Linked DNA regions of Arabidopsis thaliana. The main gene of each other region encodes a partner of the protein of the gene in region 2 in a complex. Each region holds a gene or a part of one and is shown on either strand. Other genes may lie near its edges. The genes, in order: MSI1, VIN3 and SWN.

Region 1 (3,754 bases), 310 kb from region 2:
TGGAGTATGTTGTCCTCAGCAACACTGGAAATAACCCAATCTTCACAAGGGTTCCACGAGAAATCTGAAATTTTGCTAGTGTGACCACCGTGAATAAACAGCAGCTCAGGTGGGCCGTCTTCTGCGTCCTCCACTGTCTGTTCCTCATCGATCCTATCATAAGACACCCTCAAACATATCAATATTGCTCCTCCATGACCATACATGAACATTAAACTAAAGAACTAAAGTCTACGGCCCAAACCTGCTAAGGTCCCAAACCATAAGTCTTCTACCAAGGCAACATGAAGCTAAAATAGTCTCGTTCTTTGGGTTCCAACCAACTTGAAAAACCTCCTCTCTGGAGATCAAGCACATAATTAAGGTTAGTGATGTTGCTGTAACTTGTAAATACTTCTTAGTAACACAAAATCCATCTCAAAGCGGCAATATTTATGGCGTATCATTCTTACTTGTGGCTATCAAATGTGTGAAGAGCGGTGCTTAGCTTCCGTAGATCGAATAATTTAACAGTCTTGTCAGTTGATCCTGTTGCCACAACCCACTCATTAAATGGATTGAAGGCTAAGCAGTTAACCTAAGGCATTTCAAACAACTCAACAATTAGCAAATACATACGAGGCAATATGATTCAATGGTTTTTAGTGTTAAGGAAAGCAAGCTTAAAAACCAGAAGTATTATCTGTATCTAAAGCTAATATATTGCAAACTCACCTCCATCGAATGAGCAACCACAGACTGTACTGGTTTACTGGCAGATGGAGAACGCAGATCCCATATGAGAAGGTATTGGTCATCTCCAACTGATCCAAACAGGTACTCATGTCTCAGATGCCATGCAACATCTTCCACAACCCCTTCATGAGCCTTAAGTTCAGAAAATAATCATCAGCAAGGAAAACACAGAAACCAACCTGAATATCTATCTATGAGCTTTCATAAGTGTAACTGATTCCGTTAAGTGGGTGCAATTCCTTCCTTTCTAGATGATACAAAACAAAACTAAAAACGAATAGAAATCCAAAGCATTACCTTAAAAATCTGCTGAGCGTCCAGAGATTTGTTTTTAGGAGTAGCGTTAATATCCCACAAGCAGATCTGAGCATCATCAGAGCCACTAAGCAAATGACCCTGCTTGAACTTACTCCAAGAGAGACCATATCCCTCAGAGCTGTGACCTCTAAGCTTTAAATCAGGATTACAAGCCCCATCAAGAGGAGGCTTAGATGGATGCTTACTGTAATCGAAAACATAGACCTCCGCATTAACTGTCTTGGTAGCAATTATGAAAGGGTTTTGAGGCATATAGCGAGCTCGATTAACCTCACCATCATGATTTATCTGCTGGATAATTTGTACCTACACAAGCAATCAAACTAACATTTATCATCCTTTACCTCGTTATAACCCTAGAATCAAATCTAGAAAGTTGGAAATGAGAAACAAAAATAAAAAATCGCACCTTTCCAGTTGCACAGCCAAAGCCACCAAATTCAGAGCGGTCATCATCGTACTGACGAGCTTCACTCTCGGTATCGTCAAGAGGAAGCTGAACTTGGGCTAGCATCAAGTAATTGGGCTCGCTCTCGGAGGTATGGGTACCGAGAATCATCTTCTGAACGGAGTAGTCTTTACCGGAAGGTTCTTCACGGTCAGGAAGCCATTCAACAGTAAGTGAAGGCCACTCGAGAGCGTGAGTAATAACGAGATCGTAGAGGAAAGGAGTGTTCTTCTTCCAGATCTTGTACTCTTCATTGATTAGTCGCTCCTCGATCTCACCTCGCATTTCCTCTTCGTCTTTCCCCATATCGGCGATGTCTTTGTTATTCCCGCCACAAGAACAAGGCAAAACCCTAAAACAGATCTCTTTACAAATTGTAAGAAACTTCTCGCTTCTGTTTCTGAATAATTCACATATAGAAGATGATGAATAAAAAAAGGAAGAAGATAAAGAAAAGGCCCATTTTTGAAAAGCCCGTTTATGAAAAGGCCCAATTAGATGACTTTTGATCTTACACCAGTCAACAGAAGTGAGGATTGGAGAAAAGAGAGAAAAAATGGCGATGGAGATCGGAGAAGATGAATGGAAGGTTTGCTGTGGAAGCTCCGAATTCGCGAAGCAGATGTCTACGTCTGGACCGTTAACTTCTCAAGAAGCAATATATACTGCAAGAGACATCTGGTTCAACCAAGTTAATGTGACAGATTGGCTTGAAGCTTTCTCTGCTCATCCTCAGATTGGGAATACTCCTTCACCTTCTATCAACTCCGATTTTGCTCGTCGGAGCGTATCAGAACAGTCAACCGCCTTTGCCACAACTTCTGCTTCTGCTTTACAGGTGATGGATCTTCACTTTTTTTTTCCTTCATCTCTTCAGTGATTTCTTCTTCTGATGATCAATTGTTTTCAATTTCTTAGGAGCTTGCCGAATGGAATGTACTTTACAAAAAGAAGTTTGGCTTTATCTTCATTATTTGCGCTTCTGGCAGGACTCACGCTGAGATGCTCCATGCGTTAAAGGTCAACTTTTGCATTTCCAAATCAGTTTTTGTTGAGTGTGAGTGAATGAGAAAGTTACATATTCATCAAATCGTCTCTTTTTCAGGAAAGGTATGAAAATAGGCCAATAGTGGAGCTTGAGATTGCTGCTATGGAACAAATGAAAATAACAGAGCTACGAATGGCAAAGCTGTTCTCCGATAAGGCTAAAGTTATATCAGAAACTGACAGCTCTAGCTCTCCTGTTTCAACAAAACCTCAAGGTATATTGATGATTTACCAAATCTTTTCCTTGTCAAAGTTTTGTGTTTGACTGTGTGGGTTTGAACCTGTTAGGATTCAGTATGATATCAAGTATGTGTCTTTTGGAATACAAGGATTTACCCTTATGGCTATCTTTGTTATCTGTGTGACCTTTTCTACTTTCTCGCTTTGTAAGATCGTCTGAGAATCATTGGAGGGCATTTGAATGTTGCAGCTGAAGCAAAAGCTCCCAAGAGAAGTAGGCCACCGATCACGACTCATGTCTTAGACGTCTCACGTGGTGCTCCAGCTGCAGGTGTTGAAGTGCACTTAGAAGTGTGGAGTGGTACTACCGGTCCTTCCTTTGTTCATGGAGGTGGTGGGGTCTGGTCCAGTGTGGGCACATCAGCTACTGATAGAGATGGGCGCAGTGGGCCACTGATGGATTTGGTTGACGCTTTGAATCCAGGGACATATAGGATTAGCTTCGACACTGCAAAGTATTCCCCAGGCTGCTTCTTTCCCTATGTTTCCATTGTATTTCAGGTTACAGAATCACAGAAATGGGAGCATTTCCATGTCCCACTGTTGCTTGCACCTTTTTCTTTCTCCACATACCGTGGGAGCTAGAGCTATGCTACTGCTGTCTGCGGCACCAACTTTCCAACACATTTTGTTTTGGTTGTACCACTACGGGAACATGTATCAAAATTGCTATGAAATGAAGTCTTTATTCGACATGTATAAAAATTGCTATGAAATAATGTCTATTCGAGTATTTATTTGGATTTGTAGTTCTGTAGAACAAACAATGAATTAGCGAAAATACGAGCTTTGATCTAGACTCATTGTGAGTAGGACAACGATAGTATAGATTACCATGTTAAACATCTTGGGAGATTCTATACCTTTGTACAAAATGGTCGATCACAAAACAAGCCTCTAAAACTGTTGTGTGTTTTAATCTAGACTCATAGCCAGCAGGACAATAATAGTCTAGATTAAGACATC
Region 2 (3,754 bases):
ATTGTAGTATATCCATAGATTTCAATATCTAAAGATCCTTACCCGAGCAAGTCATTATCTTTACCGCAATACGCGCAATAAAACCTACCATCAAGATCATCACTCCCAATCCCATACCTATCTTGCTTCAAACCACATTCCAAATGACAAGACGATCCACAAGCATCACAAGTAAGCCATAAACTAGGATCCTTATTATCATCAAACTTTTGACAGATGCAGCAAGAACACCTTCTGCAAAACGTATCATCGCATCCAAGCGCAGCTCTACAAGCTAAATTCTCACAGCAAATGATGTAACCGATCATCTTCTTCTCCTTCTTCCTCGAGTTTCTACGGTCAGAACAAGAGGTCTCTCCAAGAGGACGAGACACAAGATTCAGAAGATTCTCTATGAGCTTTGGTTTGTTAAGACCAGTGTACTTCCTTTCTTTACCCATCTCAGCACATATGATCTTCATGATCTCATTTCTGCTCCATGAATTCAAAAGCTCCGAAGCTTCTTCAGGCTGGTTAGACAATGCGTGGATCAATTCTCTCCTTTCACTTACATTCAAAACGTTTGGTTTACAAGTCTCAATGCATTCATTATCTGCACCATAAAAGACCAATCCTTTAGCCCTAGATTCTCCTCAAGATAAAAAGGAGAGGATCACAGATTCTGACTCTTTTTGGGGTAAAAATGATCAAAAGTATAAAACTTTGAATGAATCTCAACAACCCAGAAACGAAATATCAACAATGACGACGAATCCAATGCGAGAAATAAAACGTTTGTTGATATTGTGTAAAAACGTCGTCGTGTTAACGACCTAAAACGCATGAAACTAGGAACAGTGAGAGAGACGTTCACGTCGAGAAAATATCGTACCTTCAAACGAAGAAGAATCCATGTTCTCTGGACCCACATTACCATCGAAACGCCAGATCTTTGAGAGCTGCCGAGATCCGATTTCACACAAAAGGTTCAATTATGTCAAAGTTAAAGCAAGAACCAAAAAAAATAAACCATCACAACAATCTGACAATAACACTTAAGTACAGACAAAAAAAAAATTCTCAAAGATGTAACACTTACGATGATGAAGAACACAAGATCGAAAAAAAAATTCAGATTTTATCGATTTTCATTTTGAAGTTATAATCTTTAAACAACCAAAGAGAAACCCATGAAATACACTTTGTAAGAACCTATATTTGTAACTATTAGACAAAAGATTCGAGGATGACTCAGTCTTAAGAACAAACCATTGAGAATTTTCTTTAATTAAAATAAACAAATACTCAGAGAGTAAATATATATGCAAAATTAGAATTGGTTGTTGTTCACCGAATGAGAAGCCTTCAAAAAAAAACAGCATACAAAGAATATTTATATAAAAAAAAAACGCTGTTTACCGAAGCAGCTTGCATTTTTTTTTTGTTTGTCGTTCTTCGTGTTCTTCGTTTTTTTTCTCTTGATTTTTTTTTTTGCTAGGTTTATTTTAGAGATCTTTTATGGGGATTTAGTGAAAAAGGAAAAGATGTTTCTGTGATGGATGGTTCTTCTCTCTCTCTCTCTCCTTTTGTTTTTTCTAGATGTTTCTAAGGAGGAAACCCTCTGATGGATGAAACTTCTGCTCTGATGAGAGCTTTTTTTTTTAAAGTTCTTTAGAATTTTGGTTTTGTGTATTTTTTAATATTAAAAAAAACGTTGGAAATATCTTCACGTGCTTTGGAAGATATTATATACGCAAATGCTTTGATTTGACCTGTAACCAATGCTGGACTTATTGTATATACCTTTTCTAGGATGTCGCTTATGACTCACTACTATATGTTCGAAATATTACGATATGTAAAATCATTTTTATTTACTATCATAAATTTTATAAATCTTTTTATTGAATTTAATAGTTTGTTTATATACAAGTTTTTTTTTTTTTTTTTTGAAAATATTATTTTTTCTTTTATAAGAAGAGGGGAGAAGAGATTATGATAATGTTGATATGGTGTATGAACTATCGTGTACAAACTTCGAGTAAGTCTTAAACAACAAAGTTATTAGTTTATAATTTCAGAATTCTGAGTTTAGATTTTGTGACAAGGGTTTTTAGTTTTTGTGAAGTTTACAAAATGCAGATCTCTTAAAAACTTTCACATATTTTTGTTTTGCATCATCTACGTTAATTTGTGATGATTAGTAGTATTTTATTAACAAAGTTAAACATCTAGTATTAGTTCAAATTTTCAAAATCCACAAAACGTTAACAATAAAAGAAGGTTAATATTCTATATATAGATTATCATATGAAAATGAGAAGTTCCGTTAGATTAAATTATGTTTTCTAAACCAACTGATGTAAAAGATTTTCTTAAATAACTGATTACTTTAGTTCATCTTTTTTTGTTTTTTGGACATCTTTAAATCGAGTAGACTCGATCTATAGTCAATGGATTTTTTAGGTGAAAGTTTACTAGAGGGGATAACGCTTAATGGATTCAAATTTGGGTGGAGAAAACGGAGTCAAGTAAACTTAATTCATCTTTAAAATTTAGTTCATCTACAAATACTTTAATAGTACAGTTTAGTAATACAACTTGTACTAGACAAGTACTAATATAGCCATTAACAATTTTAGTTTGCCCATGAAGACGGTCGGTCCAGATACCAAAAAAAGCGATTTGCCAAAAGTTTTTTTTTTGAATTAGCATCCCATGTAAAGAATTTCTTCGACTAATTCTTTTGGGACGAGTGACTTTTTGCCAAAAGAAAATTAAGAATCCACATTCGATTAAAAATTATGTTAGAATTCATGAACGAGTGATTATGACAAAGATACATGCAATAATTGTAACTTAATTTTGTAATAGAATTCCATAAACATTCACATGATATATCTTAACCCAAGTTATTTCAGGTTAGTAAGTTGTATTGTGGATCAAAAGAGGATTTGACTAAAATGTGCAAAATGAGCATTATCATGTAAAGAGACGGGACAGGGTGAGAAGGGGTGGTGGAGGTAGGGCTAAACCAGTTAAAAGTCCGCATATTTTTAGTTTTGACATGTTCGATCTAAGTTTTTCCAACTGAATAATTAGAGTGTTTGGAGTTAGGGTTTAGATCATAATTTATTGTTTAGATATAAAAACAAAAAATCATCAAATGAGGAAGAAGAACAATGCTATTACATGGTAAAAACGTAAAAATCCATATGAAGTTTGTAACATATATAACATATTCAATGAAAGGTTCTAATATTGTATCGTTGGCCTTCGTGGTATAAGAAACAAATAAACTGCGCTAGAGCAAATAAGTTAGAGAAAGTTCACTTGCAGTGGCATTTGAAAACAATTGGAAGAGAGAAATGTGCTAACACTTGGACATGAAGAGAACATGAACGAAAAGGAAATCATGAAAAAGGTTAAATGTTAGTTACTAAACATTATGGATGCAATTATGGTTTTTCAAAAGTGTTTTATGACCAACTAATTGTATATTCGATCTTGATAATAATTTGTGTGGTCTCGTAAAAATGTGATGAACATTTATGATGATTGATTATTGGGCTAGTGTAAATCAAGAAACGGGCGTTCTATCACGTTGATTATTTCAGTAATCTGCAGAAAATAGTATACTCGTACACACACACACACTCAACGAAGGCAAGATATGAAGATTTGTGTTTATCGATTTAGCCCATTGAAATGAACAATAAAGGGAGAATATAAGAGAGACATCTATAATACTTATTAGGCTACGTAGATGTTGTCA
Region 3 (3,754 bases), on a different chromosome or scaffold from region 2:
AGAGACCAACGATGGGCGAAGTGGTTCAGTCACTTAAAATGGTTCAACGGGTGGTTGAGTATCAAGACCCGGTTTTAAACACTTCAAATAAAGCTCGTCCTAACCGGAGACAATCATCAGCTACGTTCGAGTCAGAAGTAACCTCTTCTATGTTCTCTTCTGGTCCTTATTCTGGTCTAAGCGCTTTTGATCATGAAAATATTACACGAACAACTGTTTTCTCAGAAGATCTTCACGAAGGCCGATGATAGAAGCCAGGGTTTTCTTCTTTTTATTTGTTTTTCTCCCACTTACGGTGAGAAAATTTCCACCAGAGAAGCTTTTGAGTTTGGGACATTATTACAGCTCTTTGGATTTTGGATTCTCCTTTATTGGAGGATAGAATTTTGTATATATTTTTGCGTTAATTAATTAATATTTGCCACAACCATCAGATATACAAATAGAATTTGAATATACTTTTTCCAATATAAAAAAACTATGTACAGGTGATTAGTTTGTACTGTTAATTTTTAAAGGCTTTTTACAGTAAAAGTTTTTACAGCTAAAAGTAACAGTATAATACTTTTTTTTTATGGAATAATCTAAATAAAATATAATCTGTTGAAAAACTAATATTTTAAATATAATTTTTATGGTATCAAACCAATATTTAAAGTAATTCCTTTCTTATTAGTTAAAATCACAGTTTTTATTATTATTATTTTTGATAGTGGTTATGTTCAGGAAAGGACTGTCATACATTCAGGATGGATTTACAGAGATTGCAATGGATGTTTCCTTAGTTCAGGGCGTGCTCAACTTCAATCGTCACAATTATCTCTTCAAGCAGAGGCTCTCGGATTTCTTCATGCCCTTCAAGTGACTTGGTCCCGAGGACTACATTATGTACTTATGTGTGGTTTGAGAGCGATAATGCAGAGCTAGTAAATCTGATCAATACGCAGAGTGATCATAATAAGATCATCACTCTTCTTTATGATATTCGTTATTGGATGGTGAAGCTTCCGTTCTCTTCCTTAGCACATGTTAATTGGGAAAGAAATGCAGCTGCGGACATCTTATCTAAAAAGGCTCAGTTAATTAATTCTCTGTACCACCATTATGGTTAGAAAGATATTTGTATCTCCCTTTACAAGTTTATAAGAAGCATACATATGTTAAAAAAAAAAAATCTTTACAGTTTAAATCTTTACGCTCAGAGATTTTTACTTTACAGCTAATATTCTTAGCCTCAATGGCTAGTATTGTTAACGTCAAAGTTTCTAAAGCCACACAAATCATAGTAGTTACCTTTAAGATAAAATACAATTATAATCACAAATATCTTAATATTTTTACGTTCAGAGTTTATTACTTTACAACTAATACTTATCTCAAACGTAACTGCTATAACCTGTGTGGCTCTAGAGACTTTGACGTTAATAATATTAGCCATTATTAGCCTCAACGGCTCCAGAGCCAGGCATGTCGTAATAGTTATCTTTAAGATAACATACAATTATAATCACAAATAGAAAATAATTGTCGCAAAACCACTAATTAAATTACACACGTATAAGCACTATTCATTCACACGTGTGGCGTTCTTTGTATGTAATGTAACCCCCCTTCCAGTCCACACTCCGTTCGTCCTTCTCACAAGTCTGATTGCGGAAAAAGCAGAGAGAGAGAGAAAGTTCGAGCGGAAGAGAAGCGGAAAGCTCGAGGAGTCATCAATGGTGACGGACGATAGCAACTCCTCTGGACGAATCGTACTCAGATTTACCTTTCAATCTCCTCTTTTTTTTTTTTTTTTGATTTATTATCTGATTTTGCTCGTATGCGCATGATCATTCGCGTTTTTTCAGCTGATTGTTCGTGAAATCCGTTTGAGTTCATCAAATTATAATCGCTCTCTTACTTTTGTTCACTGTTGGAGTTGATGGACCTTATAGAATTAGTGTTTTTCCTCGTTGCTTTTGTTTTTTACACGATTTTTGTTTTGATTTGGGCTTCTGAATAGAAGTCTCATGTAGATGATGATGATGATGGTGAAGAAGAAGAAGATAGACTCGAGGGTTTGGAAAACAGATTAAGTGAGCTTAAAAGGAAAATTCAAGGAGAAAGAGTTAGGTCTATTAAAGTAAGAGAGTTTCTATACTTGATGTTCTTTACTAATTATACTAATGTCTAAAAAATTTGAAATCATTTATCCGTTTTTGATTGTTTTCCTGGGAATGTAGGAGAAATTTGAGGCTAATAGAAAGAAAGTGGATGCTCATGTTTCTCCCTTTTCATCTGCTGCATCGAGCCGAGCTACCGCAGAGGATAATGGAAATAGCAATATGCTTTCTTCGAGAATGAGAATGCCACTCTGCAAGTTAAATGGTTTTTCTCATGGTGTGGGAGATAGAGACTATGTTCCTACTAAGGATGTTATATCAGCAAGTGTCAAGCTTCCTATTGCTGAGAGAATACCGCCATACACTACCTGGATATTTTTGGACAGGCATGCACCTTTTCTAGTTCTCATTTTTGCGTTGGTAGCATGCTATTCTAAATTCAGTTGAACAATAGACTAGAACATCAAATTCAGTTTTCATATTATGTGTTGTTTTTCTTTTCTGAAAAAATATCTTAACCATGCAGAAATCAAAGAATGGCTGAAGATCAGTCTGTGGTTGGTCGAAGACAAATCTACTATGAACAACATGGTGGTGAGACGCTAATATGCAGCGATAGTGAGGAAGAACCAGAACCTGAGGAGGAAAAACGTGAATTTTCCGAGGGTGAAGATTCCATTATATGGTTAGTTTTGCAGAGAGTGTAAATTATGGACTCTCATGTACTCTGATGGGGAAAAATTGTGATACTGGTATTTGAAGAAGTACCTGGGTGGAATTTATTAACCAATGAATCACATTTGTTGATGCTAAAAAAAGATGTCATATTTCGTATTCATATCAAATTTCATTCTGTAAGACTCTTCATTAGCATTAGGTTTGAAATATATCTCACTATATATGAATTTCTTCATACCTCGTTTGACTTGAATTGGCAGGTTAATTGGGCAGGAGTATGGCATGGGTGAGGAAGTGCAGGATGCCCTTTGCCAGTTGCTAAGCGTAGATGCTTCTGATATCCTGGTGCAGTTTTTAGTCATCTTGTTCTTGTGGTTTATCTAATGATGTTTTTCTGGTCTTCCTATTCTTCTTCACTAATGATGTTTGGCTTTCCTGTCTGCTGCAGGAAAGATACAATGAGCTCAAGTTGAAGGATAAGCAGAATACCGAGGAATTTTCTAATTCCGGATTCAAGCTGGGAATATCTCTGGAAAAGGGCCTTGGTGCAGCTCTAGATTCTTTTGATAATCTTTTCTGCCGCCGTTGCTTGGTACTTGGATTGTTCTTTGTGACAGAGAGAGCATGTATTATTAAGTGTTTGTTAATCATGTTAATCCTTCTTTGGTTATTTCTAACAGGTATTTGACTGTCGTCTGCATGGATGTTCTCAGCCTTTGATTAGTGCTGTAAGCTTGAATTTGTCTTTACTTTCTTTAGTTGTATTGCTAAAGTTTCAGTGGACAACATAACAAGAGAACTTTGGTTGACAGAGTGAAAAACAGCCTTATTGGTCTGATTATGAAGGTGATAGGAAACCCTGCAGCAAACATTGTTACCTCCAGGTCTATCTCTCTCTCTGTCTCTTTACATTCTCAGAGTGATTTGTATATTCGTAGTTAATAAACTATATTCATTAGTGAGATCATGGA

The links.
Region 1: VIN3 (region 2) and MSI1 share a complex: the UniProt entries of both Arabidopsis thaliana proteins name them as parts of the plant homeodomain / polycomb repressive complex.
Region 3: VIN3 (region 2) and SWN share a complex: the UniProt entries of both Arabidopsis thaliana proteins name them as parts of the plant homeodomain / polycomb repressive complex.

What each region holds. Positions count from the first base shown.
Region 1 is NC_003076.8:23,554,165-23,557,918, reverse strand, and holds the start of MSI1 (Transducin/WD40 repeat-like superfamily protein), read right to left. Parts: upstream 1,908-3,754; 5' UTR 1,808-1,907; coding exon 1,463-1,807; intron 1,360-1,462; coding exon 1,033-1,359; intron 868-1,032; coding exon 715-867; intron 578-714; coding exon 453-577; intron 341-452; coding exon 245-340; intron 154-244; coding exon 1-153. Other genes in the region: TTL (transthyretin-like protein), read left to right, coding at 2,058-2,339, 2,420-2,521, 2,607-2,763, 2,940-3,373. UniProt on the Arabidopsis thaliana protein: Core histone-binding subunit that may target chromatin assembly factors, chromatin remodeling factors and histone deacetylases to their histone substrates in a manner that is regulated by nucleosomal DNA.
Region 2 is NC_003076.8:23,247,877-23,251,630, forward strand, and holds the start of VIN3 (Fibronectin type III domain-containing protein), read right to left. Parts: upstream 1,629-3,754; 5' UTR 1,414-1,628; coding exon 1,399-1,413; intron 990-1,398; exon of another isoform or gene 939-989; coding exon 872-938; intron 593-871; coding exon 43-592; intron 1-42. UniProt on the Arabidopsis thaliana protein: Plays a central role in vernalization by mediating the initial transcriptional repression of the homeotic gene FLC, a floral repressor, after a cold treatment.
Region 3 is NC_003075.7:884,975-888,728, forward strand, and holds the start of SWN (SET domain-containing protein), read left to right. Parts: upstream 1-1,605; 5' UTR 1,606-1,718; coding exon 1,719-1,754; intron 1,755-2,005; coding exon 2,006-2,125; intron 2,126-2,225; coding exon 2,226-2,491; intron 2,492-2,631; coding exon 2,632-2,790; intron 2,791-3,043; coding exon 3,044-3,128; intron 3,129-3,231; coding exon 3,232-3,375; intron 3,376-3,463; coding exon 3,464-3,511; intron 3,512-3,595; coding exon 3,596-3,667; intron 3,668-3,754. Other genes in the region: AT4G02010 (Protein kinase superfamily protein), read left to right, coding at 1-248. UniProt on the Arabidopsis thaliana protein: Polycomb group (PcG) protein. Catalytic subunit of some PcG multiprotein complex, which methylates 'Lys-27' of histone H3, leading to transcriptional repression of the affected target genes, mainly abscisic acid (ABA) responsive elements.